Linked DNA regions of Tamandua tetradactyla. The protein of the gene in region 2 purifies or fractionates together with the protein of the main gene of each other region. This does not show direct contact. Links are inferred from orthologs where the notes say so. Each region holds a gene or a part of one and is shown on either strand. Other genes may lie near its edges.

Region 1 (7,260 bases), on a different chromosome or scaffold from region 2:
CCAATTGTTGAGGAAGGCTTGAAGTACTAGTTTGAATTCCCTGAAGAATAATCCCAGTTTGAGCAGGTGGAACTACTTGTGAAGTTGGAGGAGCACCTTGCTGAATAACTGAAGGTGTGACGGGGGTGGAGGGCTGCTGCCCTGCAATAGGTATGTTTGCTTGTTGACCAATGTTTACCATCTGACTGCTAGTCGGTACAGCAGACACTGCTGTTGGAGCCTGGCCCATGGGCTGGCCAGATGCCCCTGCAGGTTGTGCTTGGACTGCTGGGGGCTGCACTGACAGCTGAACACCCTGGGGCTGAGCCACAGGGATCACTGCTCCTGCTCCCACCCCTGCAGAACTGGGCTGTCCAGAGGATACTGCCGCCTGAAGAATAGGCTGCTGTTGTACATACTCTGGAGTGGGATTTTGAGTCACTGATTTACCATGGCCTGGGGCCATCTGTGTAGGAACAGCTGGTTGCTGTTGTCCGTACTGTAACTGCTGGGGTGGTGGCCCTGGAAGGGGAGTTTGCACTGGAGGAGCCATTTGAGAATATGGCAGTTGGGGTTGAGCCAAAGTGGAAATGGAAGGCTGCTGAGCTAAAGCTGAAGTTACACCAACAACGTTAACAGGCGATGGCTGGATACCAGGTGCAGCACTGATAGTGGCTTGCAGAGGTACTGGTTGAAGACCTGGCTTTTGCGGATAGCTCAATTCTTGAGACTGTAATTGTACTTGGGAGATCTGTGACTGAGAAACACTCTGTGGTATACTTGCTGCTGAGATACTCTGTGGACCAGTGCTACTGAAATCCATCTGTTGAGGGGCCACACCTTGAGGAGCTGGTGGTGGTGGTGGCTGCTGCACCACCACGGCAGGGGCTCCCATCTCTCCACTTCCCACACTCTCCGTGTAGTGACTCAGTGTGCTGACACTACTGCTCACGGAACTCCCACTGGTGCTCTCCCTCTCAGAAGTCACCTCTGCTGGGTTCTGTTTTACCGTCTCCACTGCTTTATTTACCACCACACCTTCGGTGGCAGGTACAGTGTTTTCTTTTTCGTAGAACTCAGTGCAAGTCCACCTGCCTTTCTTAAAGGGCTCAGAACTGGTATCTAACTTAACGACCCGGAACCTGGATGTGTTGACCATCGGTTGTGGCTGCTGACTGGAAATGGGTCCCACAGCCATCCCAGCGGCCACGTTAGGGATATTACCCACAACGGAGGCAGAGACAGTTCCATTGCCCATGCCACTCAAGATATTCACATTAATGCCAGCTCCGGGCCCACCGCTCACACTAGCAGCACTGGGAATATTACTCGTACTTACATTAGCATTCCCAAGCATGCTGCTGGCCACGTTAGGATTAAAACCACCCACAGCAGGAAGGTTTACATTATTCACTGTGTTAGTGCCAGGAACAGAATGTATACCTAGACCGCCAGGAGTACTCGAAGTGCAGACATTAGTCATTACAGATGCAGGTGACCCACTTGATGATACAGCACAAGTTGGTGCAGCTGGTACAACACTGTCCGAGCTTCCAGTTGTAGAGAGTTTTCTGGCTATTGGGCTGGTGGGGGGTCCTCCAGGGATGGGTGCACCGGCCACCCCGGCGTGTGCGGGATGGTGGTGCCCGTGGTGGAGGTGGTGCCCATGACCGTGGTGGTGGTGATGGAGGTGGTGGGGGTGGGCGCTGCCATTGATCACAACATTCTGCGGTGGAAGGTGAGGCAGATGAGTCTGAGGAAGGTGGGGCTGGTTGGGAGAGACGGCCCCAGGTGTCTCGGCTTCCTGGAAGTTATTCAGAGTCTCCTCCGAAGAGCTGCGTTCTGGTTCCCCTAAATCAGTAGCCCTGGAGAGTGACACGTCAAGGATCTCGGAGGAAGACAGATCCTCCGTGTGAGATTCATCCAGGTCGTCATAGCTCTCTGTGTCCTCTGCTATACTGTTGTTCGAGCTGATGCTGGCGGAGATCTGAGCTGGAGTAACGCTTGTTATCTGGAAGCCACTTTTCTTCTTCATCTGAGTTCCGCCTGGCGCAAGAGGCTGTGCCTGCAGCTGAGCCTGCGAAAGCAGGTTCAGGCTTTGTGGGGGCGGAGGCTGTGGTCCCGACGAAGAGGCTGCAGGGGGCGGCGGCTGGAGCAGCGACGGGGGCGGCAGATCCTCGGCAGATGTGGCATGACTCCCGACGCCGGTACCTGCTGCGCTAAGCGCAGAGGCGCTGCCGCTGCCGCTACCCCTTCTCGGGAACATTGCCGGGTGCGCCATCTTCCTAGCGCTCACGTCGGCGGCGGCCTCCGGCGGCTGGTGCATTGTGTTGGGTACTGGGGGGCGGAGGAGGCAAGTGCAATTTCCGTCTGCACCGTAATCTTTGTATTCAAGACGCCGGAGAGGAAAACCGGACCCCACGCTCCGCCTGGCTCGATTCCTCCTCCTCCTCCTCCTCCTCAGCCGAAGGCACAGGCGCCGGTCGCTTCTGCCTCCGGGGGCGAGCTTCGGGAAGGGAGGACGAACGAGGGTGAACAAGGCTGCCGGGGACCCGAAGGGGGGACCCCTCAGTCCTTCGCCCTTCGCTTTCCCCTCTAGTCTCACACCCCACCCACCCCCCCTTTATATTCCCCTTCACGTGGGGTGCGGGGCAGGAGGGAGGGAGCGAGCGAGCGAGCGGGGGAGGGGAGCGGGGCTGGGGGTGAGAGGAGACCGAGGGATGCCCACCTTCCGCGGCCAAGTCGCCAACTCGGAAGCCACCTCCACCCGCTCCTCCCGCCGCGGCGCCAGCGGCGGCTGCAAAGCCCTCCCGGCCGCGCTGCACGAAGACGGCGCGGAGCGAGTCCCGCCCGCCTCTCGTCGGCGCCGCCGTCGCGGACGAGCCCCGAGCTCAGGGGCGCTCAAACCTCCCCTCCCAGTCCCGTCGCGCCCGCTCCGCCCTCCCCCCACGCCCCGCGGACCCTTTCAAACCCCCTGGGCTCGCGGCGGCTGCTCCGAGGGGAAACGCTGGCCGCGGCTGGGGCCGAGGCGGCGAGGCTGCGAGCTGAGCGGCGGCGGCGGCGGCGGGGCGCCCGGTACGGTGAGCCCGGCAACGAGGAGCGGGCGGGCGCGCAGAGGCGCCGGGTCCTCGCGGAGCGCGGCCGGGGCGCGACGGCGGCGGTGCGAGCCGGAGCCAAAGGAGCGCTCCATCACTGGCAGCCATGGAGCCCGAGCATTTTCCTCCCTCGGGGCAGGCGCCTCAGCTCGGCACGCGTCCTCGGGGAGGAAGGGGCCGGCGCCCGAGCCTCCCCAGGGGGCGGCGGGCCGTAGGCTAGCGCCGAGGGGTGCGAGCCGCTCTCGTCCTCTTCCTCCGCAGCCGGCTTGTCCTCACCCGGCTACTGCCGGACCGGGGCGGGAGAGCCCCGGGCGACGGCGGCGACTCCTTTCTCGGCAGCTTCGGTGGCCAGACGGGCTGGTGCAGCGACTGCAGCCGACGCCGCTCAAAGGAACGAGAGGTGGGGCCGCTCGGTGTTGGCCAACGGGGCGGGTGAGTGGGTGGGTGCTGAGGGAGGGGGTCGGGCGGGGGACTGAGGGGGTTGTTACTAGTGCTCTTCGGCTCCCCGGGTCTCTCGCGGCATAGGGAGAGGAGGGACCAGCGCCCGAGCGCAGGAGGAGGAGGAGGAGGGGCGACCGCCGGCTAGAGAAGGAGGCGGTGGCGGGGGAAGGGGAGGGGGCGAAGAGCGGAGAAGGAGGGAAGATGGCGTCTGCGCATGCGCCCCGGCGCCGTAGACATAAAGCCTGGTCTGGCGGGGTAGGAGGCGGCAGGTCTTCGGGCCTTGCCGGTCGCTCGGTCTTTCCGCGGAGATTGCCGAAGGCTGGCGGAGGCGCCGTCGTCGTGGGGGTGGGGGGTTGGGGAGCATCTCCGCAGAGCGAGCGAATCCGGGTCGGGCGGTGTGGGGGTGGGGCAAGGCTGGGGAGCTCGGGGGCCGCAGCTGAGCGCGCGCGCGCGCCCGCGCTGGTTAGGTGTGTCTGTTCTTTTCTCACACGCGGCCAGCGCGCGCGCTCGGGCACGCAGCCGGGGAGGGGGCGCTTCGAGGACCCGGGAGGAAGGCAGGACCATGCGCTCGGCCCGCGGAGGCTGCTGTGGTCCGGGTCCCGGGCGTGCGTGCGTGCCGCGGGTGGCGTCCCCCGCCTGCGGAATGGGTAATGAAGCTTTTCTCCGCAGCAACAGCATCACGAGTTCCAGCTCCCTGGAGCCCGCTGCCGCCACGACATGAGTCAGGCTTTCTTCCTCGGCTCGCGGCAGAGTCCTCCTCCCCCTCGCCGCACCTGGGCTCAGCCCCCGGCCCGCGCCGCCTTCGCCCCTCGGAGTTGCCTGGGGCCGTGGCTTCGGGGGCCCGGGGAGGCCAGTGGCTCCCCGCGGTGGGTGTCGCCCTTTGTGGCATGTCGTTGTAGCTACCGTGCGGTCCCATCGCTCCCCGACGGGCTGGGGCGAGCTGCGGGGCAGAGGTTGCAGAGGTTTGCAGTTAACTGCCCAAGGACCGGGGGTAGGCGCTCCTTGGAGAGGAGTGGTTGCGATCGATCCTTACCTCGAGGAAAGCAGCACCCAGCCCAGTGAACTCGCCGACCTCAACAGGTGGCGCTTATTCAACCCTTGTGCCTTTTCCATTTCATTGTCCAGGTTGTCTTACAAGACAGGGTGGCCTAGACATGGTTGAAACACGTGGAACGATAAGTGAAGAATGCCTTATAGGGGAAAAAAAGAAAAAGCCGTCTGAAACTCCCGTTTAAAGAAAAGAGTCAGCATTTCATGAGTCTAAATGTAGTTCAGAAGCAATGTCAGGTTTGATTGGACTCAATTTACTAGAAGTAGTTTGCCCGGCAGTGCATGTCAAAACATTCTCGCTCTGGGCATTTTATTTTTATTATTATTATTTTTACTACCTGTAGCTCAGGAATTTAACAACAACATGACCAAGAAAATTCAATAGATGAATTTGTTTAATTTAAGTTGTTGGGGGACCAAACATTTATGGTTAGATCTCTCATTCAGGAAACCTTACATACTCATGAGGTCCACCTTCTTATTTCAGGAGATTATTAAAATGTTAACATTGTCATCTTTTTCAGATTTTTTATAAACTTGTAGTTGAAAACTCAGCGTGTTACCTTTAGGTTTCTCTGAACTTTCCCCCTCATTCCCTCCCTCAAAAAGCTAAAATTGTCACCATTCTCTTAAGTTATTGAGTAGAAATGCACCCTTAACATCCCGTGTCTATCAGAAATCAAATACAATATCAAAGCTATGATGTATTGTTGCTTTACCTGCGGTGTCTCCCACTAAACAGAAAAGGCAGGACTATATATTTTTTTGTTTTATTTTGTTTTTGTTTTTTGCATGGGCAGGTACCGGAAATTGAACCCGGGTCTCCAGCGTGGCAGGTGAGAACAATGCCACTGAGTCACCATGGCCCACCCGGGACTCTATTTTTTTACTTTAGATTACTAATATGGAGCTCTCTGCAAGGTACAAAGTAAGGCACTCACATATATTGAAAGTGGTAAGGTGATAAATATCAAATACAATTGAGCACACCATATTTTATTTCTCGTTTTATGATAATACACTCTTGGATTAATACACGAGTGATTGTGTATTTAGATAAGTATGGCCATTTGTATTTTTAAAAAATGATCTCTTTTTTTAATCCCCCAATAGCTTTTGTTGCAAGTGATACTCCTGGTTAATGGCTGCCATCCACTGTCAACAGTTTTTGCATGGAAAATAAAAACTATCCTAACCGATTGAATCTGCAATGGAATGTAGATAGGCAGAATTCCGTTTCTTTGGACTACAGTGTGAAAGAAAATGCTCTTGATCTCTCAAAATCTTGCCTTAGGTCAAAGTTTTAAATTACCCCAAACAGCGCTCAGCACTCTGTGGGTCCCCTGAATACCTGTGTGATTGTGTGGATATGGATTGAAGCACAAAAACACAAACCGTATTAAAGTACTTACCCTAATATGGTAGAATGAATGATTTGTTGAGATAACCCTAAAGAAAACAGTACTAACCATTAGCAAAGTATATTGTCGTTGTTACTGCTTTACTTTTCCAGGATAACATAAGACTTAAGAAAATATGGTCTTTTGAAATGTATTTAATTTTTGTCTGCCTTATCACTTTCAAACCCCTGATTGGGCTGCATCAAGTCCCACTAAGACAAAATGCCACTCTCCAATTAAGGAAACCAGAGTTTGTGTATCCATGTCTTCTCTCTCTCTCTCTCTCTCTCCCTCTCTCTCTCTCCCTCTCTCTCTCTCCCTCTCTCTCTCTCCCTCTCTCTCCCTCCCTCTCTCTCCCTCCCTCTCCCTCTCTCTCTCCCTCCCTCTCTCTCTCTCCCTCTCTCTCTCTCCCTCCCTCCCTCTCTCTCTCTCTCTCTCTCTCTCTCTCTCTCTCTCTCTCTCTCTCTCTCTCTCTCTCTCTCTCCCTCTCCCTCCCTCCCTCTCTCTCTCTCCCTCTCTCTCTCCCTCCCTCCCTCCCTCTCTCTCCCCCTCCCCCCCACAGCCCTCTGTTAACATGTTACTAAAACATGTTACCATCTTTGTTGAAAAAGTTTGAATTTTTTTAATGTATTAAATGCCTACTGCTGTGTGTAAAGAAGTTTTCAATCCTTTGAACCCACTATTTAGAATTATCATTTACCTTTTGGACTGAATTTCAGTGTTTACATTGTGAAGGTGTTGCTCTCAATTACCTTTCTACTGATGAAAGGATTAGACTGTACTTCAGTGTTGATTTAAATCTAGGTATTGCCACATTGCAGATCAGACTGTATATTTGGCTATATTTAGTATTTATTCTACTATAAAATAGAAAATTTGCTGAACATTGTAGCACAATTTACCTGTTTGTGACCTGCCATATGGGTCAGTATTTAAAACTAAGTAATTCTCCAAAAGCAGTGCCAGGAAGAGCCATAAAGGAGTACCGACCCTCAGAACAGCAGTGAGTGGCAACAACTGATGTTTCCACTGAGTTATCATTCTGCAGAACCAGTGCTTCATCAGCAGTGTAACTTCTCTGTAACAATTAAGTGCCATCTGATTAAAAAAAAAAAAGGTAAGTTTTTAAACATGTCTTAGAGACGTGACAAACCCCACATTTTTACTCGAGGAAACTTAAAGGGTATTCTAGCATGTTTATAAATTAATTTGTTCTCTCAAAAAATTGTTAGAATGAGATCAGAAGTCATAGGTGTTACTTATACTTACTCTGAAACTTTTCATTCATATGTCAA
Region 2 (7,767 bases):
AGTAGCCAAAGCCCTACTCTCATCCCCACAGCAGCTAACTTTGGTTCTGTTTCAAAACTACCTTGTTTTAATCTCTAAATGTAAAAGAAACAATAAATGTAGCCATTCTTATTGCACTAAACTCAGGAAATACCAGGAAAGAGTTCTTACCCTGGCCTTATTCTCTTTAATGTCAGCCCAATACTTGTGAAACTTAACAATGTTGAGATGTTCCAACTGAATCAGATTATCAAATACAGCACGGACTTTTTCCTGGGAGTGAGGGAGACAATCCGATAAACAGGGTTCAGAAATCAATGTAATAATCCTGAAAAACCCATTACATCCCATTCTCTATCCCTCCCCAGTAATTATCTAACCCCAACACACTCTCCTCAGTCAGCTTTCCATTATCAATTCCACTTTAACGAAAGCTGTGTTCTAATCGCCCCAGGGCCCATCCTTTCACCATTACTTACCTCCTGTAGCTTGTAGTTCTTGCGTTCAGAGAACTGTACCTCATTCCACACAACCTCTACACCCTCCTCTGTATCCATGGCCAGGTATGCACTGTCAATACCTGGTACGTTCCGCTGATTCACCTGAGAATAAATTCAAATGAAAGGGAATTAAAATTAACTTACAAACTCTCTGATTCAATACAATTATCTTCTGCCAGCCCCCAACCTGTTGACGTTCACTCTGCCCACTTGAAAATTTTGCCCATGTGCCTTTTGGGCTCCCTCACTCCCTGCCCCAGTTCTCCTCTCTTAGTATTCATTTCTCAAGAGTGACAATACCACCACCTTACCTCTTCTCGCCTCTTCTGCCAGCGCCCACAAGGTGACTCTTCCAAGATCTCAGACTCATCTTCACTCTCTTCTTCCTCCTCTGGGGAAGCAGCCGAGGTTGTAGAGGTCACAGGAGGTGACACTGACGTCAGTCCAGGAGCTGAGGATGAGGATTCTACCTTTGGGTCTGAGCCACTGCTGAGTACTGTCTGGGACTCCCCCTCCGACATGCTGGAACCAACGCTCAGGCCTGCGTTGGTTGGAGCAAACATGGAGGAAGAAGGCAGAAAGGGTCAGGATAAATCTAAAGACTTAATCCTAGTAACTTAACCAGGGCCTCAAAGGAAAAACACATACCTTGTTTCCTTTAAACCCAAAATCAGAATTAGTCCTGTCTGAATGTTGAAACATTACACTCCTGACTTTAAACTAGAGAAGGGGAGTTACCATGGTTGAACACAACTCATGCATGAGTGGCGAACACAAGATTTAAGTGTTTTTAGTAAGGTCCAAGTGAACAATAAAATAGAGGACCCTACCCTTCTCAGCAAATACTCATTCAACAGCCTTTCCTTTCAGTTCTCTTCTGCCTCTATTTGCCCTGTGCTCAAGAACTAAGCTATATGGGCATGTTTGGAACAGTTCACTCCAGACTGCAAAATGTTCCACTCAACCAACCCTTAGGCTAGACTTGTAGTACCCCTAGCCAATTTATCCAGCTAGAACTAACAACCTTGACATTCATTATCCATCCCTCCTACACATACAACAAGGCTGCCAATCCATGATGAGGCTACCCTTGGGCCAGGTGACTGGCAATGGTTAGTGACCTCATCTCTGATGATGTCACCATACCTGTGATGTGAATGTGGCAGATGAGTATTGGTCAGCAACATTTTTTTTTCATTCATTCATTCAACAAATGTTTATTAAGCACTTACTTTGGGCCAAACACTAGGATAGGTGCTCAAGATACAACAGTGAACATATTAAACAAGATCTTCAGTCTCATGGAGCCACAAATTCAAGGCAGATCTAAGACTTTAAGCTTCTAGCTTTCATTTGATTCACACAGCTCAAAGGCTCTCACGTTTCCAATCTCTGGAATGGAATATCTCTGACATAGGTACTTCTCTTTCAAGTACAAATAACTCGAGATAGCCTTTGTAAGAAAAATTACTATACAGTATAACATTTTTTTTCAGGGACACAGTTACTTGGAAGAAGTTGCTAAGTATCACCAAATTGTCCAGAAAGTCACAAAACCACCACTGAATGTATTTCATACTCTTAAGAACAAAGGCTGTGAAGAAGTCAGAACCTGTGTGTGCTAGGTGCTCCAGTATGAAAGTAATATTCTATTGCCTCTCTTGGTCCATTTAGTCTGCCAGAAGCCTCCACATGAACACCAATCTTTCGAAAAGCCCATATTTCTCTTTAGAACTCTTGCCCATTTCTGCCCACTCCTGCCCTCAACTCACATTATTTTCAACACAAGTCAGATTTTGATTAGATAACACCAGTAAATACCAGGACACAACAAGCACTACGGAGAAACTCTGACAAGATACAGTCTTTCATCATGTTATTTTCTAGGTCCTTGCCTATTCTAGAGAGATTTCAGTCAGCCAGGAAAGCTATTAACTGCTTGCCTTAGTATACTCTACAAGAAACTGTAAGCTAGAGATCATTTTCCTTCTTCCCCTGAAAAGTAGCCAAGACAATGGAGAAGAAAGTTCATATGGGTTACTTCCTAGAGCAGCTACGTTCACTGAATGCATCTATAGAATCTGGAAGAGCTAAGTAAAATTTCCAGTAGGACTACAATAAGAAATATAAATGAAATTCAAATATAGAAAGCCTGTATCCAATGGGCTCTGAAGAAACTTCTGGACACAGGCCACAGACAACTAATTCACAGTAGGGCACAAGAGAAGCAAGCCTTCATCAGTCATAGAGACGCCCTTGGAATGAGCTTGCTCCTCCCTCCCCAAACTTCGCTTAGCTGGTAAAATGAGGGCAGTGCCGAGAACTTCACCTACTGGCAAAGAAACCTTTGCAACACCAGAAATTCTGCCTCATGGTCGCTGAGAGATTTAAAAGCGGTCGCATATGGAAAAGCTCACGTGATGCTGGGCCAGAAGTTGGCTAATAACTCGCTCAATTTACGTTCCTAAAGGGATCCTCCCGGCCACCTCCAGCCACCCCGGGCGGCAGAGCAAGTGTACTTCTGGGAAAAGTTTTTCTCGCAGACTTTCCCTGGTTGGACCGCAGCCCCTCAGCACGTCACCCCCCAGAAACGACTCGCAGGCTGCAGGCCTCCCGGCGGTCCTCACGTTGAACGGCCCAAGGAGGGCCCCTCAGACCCGCAGGTCGGTCCAGTCGGAAATGAGGCAAGCTCGGGGGAAGAAGGCCCCTTCAATTCCACACTCCAACAGGTCGGCCTGCCCGCCGTCCGGAAAGTAGCGCCCGCCTGGCCGGGCCTGGAGAGCGCGCGGCGGCCAGCTCCGCACCCGCCGCGCCCGCGGCGCCCGGAGAGGCGGAGGCCACGCCCCCCGCGCTGCCCCCGCGCTGCCCGCGCGCCCCCGCCGCGCTCTTCCCGCCGGGCCCCGCCCATCGGGCAGCCCGAGTTCCGAGCGAATGCCGGGGCCCTCCCGGCCCGCGCCGACAGAATTCTGGGCCCCCGCCGCCGCTGCCGCTGTCGGGGAGCCGGCGAGGGCCCGGAGGAGTGGGTGGGGCCCTGGCAGGCCGGCCCGGGCTCCCCAGTAAGCAGAGCCGCCTCCGAGCACCGGCCTGCCGGGCTCCAGCCGTCCCCGGCCTCGGACGCCGACCCTGCTGTGTGCTCGCCGGCCTCCCACCCGCGCCCCTCCCCACCCGCTCGCCCTCCAGGGCGCTCACCTCCGGACTCGGCGCCCCTCGGCCTGCGCTGCAGCTCGGGTTCCGGGGCCCGGGATCACAGCGACTCCCTCACAGCTGCGCTCCGCCGCGCAACCGAACTGCGGGCCCCGCCCTCGCGGCGTCCTGACCAACAGAGGGGCGGTGCCGCAGCGCCGTTAGGTTTCCATTGGCCGAGGCGGCGAGGGTGGGCGGTGCCGCGGGAGACTGCGCGTCCGAGGGTTGTCTCTGGTCGCGTCTTCTCCCCTTGAGCCGGTCCGGCCGTCACCCAGGGTTCGGCCTCCTCGGTGCCAACCCGGGCGCGTCTCTCTGTCCACTCCCCCGTTCAGTCCAGGTGCACCTGATGCTTCTGCTGGACGAAGGCCTTGCCTCTCTTCTCGAAGGCGCCATGACACTTCCAACCCGACCGAAAGACAAAAGGAGCGAAAGACGTAGCCGCAGTCCAAGTGGAGCGCTCGCCCATCTTCATTATTTGGGCAGGAGACAGTCCCCAGCACCAGTTCTTGAGAAAGCTTTTTTTAAAAAATCACAACGCATGTACACTGAAAATTAATAATTGCGTTTTGTGATTGCATAGCACTGATGTTTGCAGAAACTTTGCAGCTTTTCACAAACAGCTCATTCGATACCCGTAAGATGACATTGAAATTACTCATATCTCCAGTTCACAAATGCAAAAAACTGAATCAGAGACACTAAACTATTTACCCGAAGCTAAGTTGATAGGGGGCCAAGTCTAGAGTCTGAAACAGATTCATCAAGCCTTCCTTGAAAAGGTGACTGGAAAAAAATTTAAGATTAGCTGGAAGGAGGGGGGAAGAATGGACGGTAGATTCGAGGTGAGTCCACTGATCTGCGAAAACTAAAAGGTGGAACCTGAAGGATGGAAGCGCACACTACCGTTAGACATATGAGGAGGGAAGATGAATCGGTCATCAGAACTTGAGAATGTCATAATCGCCAAATGTCACTGTCCTTAAAAGGGAATCTCTAAACCTACTCTTCTGGGAAGAAGAAAAAAAAAAAACCGTCTCTGGCAGAAGTCTCATTTTTTCATCTCTTTACCTCAAAATATTTATTTTTAGTATATAGCCACCCTTTCATCCTTTACTTGATTCTTTTACCTTTGAAAGAAAGCTCGAGCACCCTTTTAGGAAACCTGTTGACACTTATGGGCCCTCTTTTGGATTAAAAAAAAAATGCATTTGCCCTACAAATTTAGCACACAATTTCAGGTAGCTGAGGTTAAGATTCTTTGTTCTAATCTCAAAGGAAAAGGTGCGCCTTCTTCCCAGGTTACCCTCTTCTCCTTGTGGGCTGTAAAGCTGTGAACACCTGGCCCATGGTAAGCATTCATTAAATATCACTTGATGCCATCATTATACTTTCCCATTTTCCTCTCTCTGGGACCTTAGCATTAACTTCCCTCTCAATATGACAGGAGATCATTTGGCATCTTCCAGCTCTCTTTTTAACCTGCCTTTCATGTTTAAAATGTTCACATACTTTCTTCCTACTGCCTGCATTTTCATCACCCCATTAATTGTTTTTCCTGCTTTATTTATAAGAACAGTAACGTGCTTACTGTAAAAAGTCAAAATATTTAACATAGAAACAATACTTAATATGTATATAGTAGCTTCTAAGTGCTAAGCACTGTTTTCATTGCCTTACAACTGATATTAACTCATTTAAGCCTCATCTCAATCCTATGAATTAGCAATTACCATAGAAAGTGAAAATCTTTTATAATCATACTTCCCAGAAACAATTAAGACTTGAATGTATATTTCTCCATGTTTCTTTTTCTATGAGTATAAAATTTTAAAGTAAAACCAATTTTACACTGCATAATCTTTCTCAATTTACTTTTACTTTTTTCCATGACAGCATATATAGTATTAAATTTTTAACAATTGCCAACGTTTATTTAATTAATATCTGCCAGTGGGCACTGGAGTTTATTTCCAATATTTATTATTATAAATAAAGATTTTAAAATGTTTATTGTCCTAATTGGTAAAACAAGTAACAAACAGTGGGCTTAACAATAGAAATTTATTGCTTCATGTTTTCAGAGGCTGGAAGGTATCTTCTGCCTGGCTGGCAATCTCTGGGGTTGCTTGGTTTTTCCATCACATGCCAAAGCACATGGCAGCATCTTCTCCTTTCTCTTTGGGAGAAGCTTCTAGCTGCTCCCTGTGGCTTCTTCTTCTGTGTCCAGTTTCCTTTGCTTGTCAGGACCTCAGCCATATTGGACTAAGGCCCACACTCATTCAATTTGGACAGACCTTAGCTAATATCTTCGGAGGTCCTATTTACAAGCAGGTTCATATCTACAGGACCAGGGGTCGAGACCTGAACATGATTCAGTTCCCAACAGGCTGCAATGAACTTCCTGTTACCATATATACTTTGCTCACCTGTGAAATGTTTTTTTTAATGTGAAATAAAACATATAGGGTGCATGGGTTGTTCAGTGGTAGAATGCTCACCATTCATGCTGGAGACCCAGGTTAGATTCCCAGACCATGCAGCAAAAAAAAAAAGCACTAAATTTTAAAGTACATTGTTACAAGTAGTTATAGAATGAAGGGATTTTAAATTTTGATATGGGTTGCAATTCCACAATTTCATGTTTTTCCTTTTAGCTTCTCCAAGACACGGGAGACTGAAAGAAATGTCAATATACTGATTCAGCAGTCATAATTATTAATTCCTATCTTCTCTATTATAACTCCTTCTCCTTTGATCCTTCTCCCAATCTTTAGGGATATTTGGCTATGCCCCTTCTTATGCTGAAAAGGTGTCAACAAATGGGAAAGGGGAATGGAACTAGTGGATGTTCTTGTAGAGGCTGGCCCCTCTAGGTTTCAGGATTTATCTGGCCTAGGAACCATCTGGAGGTTACAGGTTTCTGCAAACCAAACTTAGTATGTAAATCTTTTGTGGAATCTCAAGTAGAGCCCTAGGTGTGCTTCAGGGTTAACAAGAATGATATAGGTTGGGGTTTGGCAAACCGTGGTAATTAGCAATAACTAGCTGAAGCCTGTATAAGAGTAGACTCCAGAATAACCTTTTGACCCTACTTGAACTCTTTTAGTCACTGATTCCTGATTGTGTTACGTTTCTTTTCCCTCTTTTCTTCAGGAAGGGCTTTGTTGATCCCACAAAGGGCTGAACTCATCCCTGGGAGTCATGTCCCACGTTGCCAGGAGACTTCCACCCCTGGATGTCATGTCCCACATGGGGGGGAGGGCAATGATTTCACATGCAGAGTCGGGCTTAGAGAGAGAGGCCACATCTAAGCAACAATAAGTTTTCTGGAAGTAACTCGTAGGCATAATTATAGGTAGGCTTAGCTACCCAGCTATAGAAATAAGTTCATAAGGGCAAACTCAAGAGTTTGGACTATTAAGTTGGGAATCTCTAATGTTTGAGAGAGTATCAGTGGCTTCCCCAGTGGGAAAGTTTAATAGTTCCATATTTTTTCTCCAGTCCCTCAAGGGGACTTTTTAAAAAGTTATCTACCCAACATACTCGGGGATGTATCTGGGTATTACATTAAGCTATACAGAATTACAAGTCCTTGTTCCCATTATGGACTCCATGTGTTTGTATTGTTCAAATGAACAATCCAGGCAGGTTGAGTGAGATTGCGTGCTACAGAAATTTAGGTTTTGGACAAAATGAACCTCTCTTCCTTTGGTATCATACACCTAGGTGAAACTCTGTAATGCAGACAATGTCATCTTTTGCCCTGGAATTTACCTTAATCCCTACCTGTTCAGCTTCACTCTTATCTCTAATTGAAGCCTTATATCTTTTTCGGTTTCTTTAACAGTTGTTGTACGTAGCAGTCCTGACTTCAGAGCTGTGGAACTCTAGGTGTCACACAGGTACCCAAAGTTCCTGGAAAATCCCAGGTTATACACATATAGCACTGCATCTCAGAATCTAGAAATAACACAACTCCAGACTAAATGTGACTGCCATAAGAGCTTACAATCTAGGCCACAATTTTCTTATAAGTATTTTCTAAAAGAGATCATGCAATATTTGTGTTTTTGTTCCTGGCTTATTCTGCACAACATAATGTCCC

What was found.
Region 1: the proteins of NRBP1 (region 2) and TSC22D1 purify together in Homo sapiens (affinity purification with mass spectrometry; 6 studies listed by BioGRID and IntAct, with this or other methods). This does not show direct contact. The link is inferred for Tamandua tetradactyla from reciprocal best matches to the Homo sapiens genes NRBP1 and TSC22D1.

Annotation. Positions count from the first base shown.
Region 1 is NC_135330.1:114,316,322-114,323,581, reverse strand, and holds the start of TSC22D1 (TSC22 domain family protein 1), read right to left. Parts: upstream 3,021-7,260; 5' UTR 2,941-3,020; intron 2,687-2,940; exon of another isoform or gene 2,486-2,686; 5' UTR 2,306-2,485; coding exon 1-2,305. UniProt on the Homo sapiens protein: Transcriptional repressor. Acts on the C-type natriuretic peptide (CNP) promoter. Acts to promote CASP3-mediated apoptosis.
Region 2 is NC_135329.1:11,351,378-11,359,144, reverse strand, and holds the start of NRBP1 (nuclear receptor-binding protein), read right to left. Parts: upstream 3,061-7,767; 5' UTR 2,883-3,060; coding exon 2,813-2,882; intron 1,021-2,812; coding exon 791-1,020; intron 582-790; coding exon 459-581; intron 253-458; coding exon 151-252; intron 1-150. UniProt on the Homo sapiens protein: Required for embryonic development. Plays a role in intestinal epithelial cell fate and proliferation, thereby involved in the architectural development of the intestine potentially via the regulation of Wnt-responsive genes.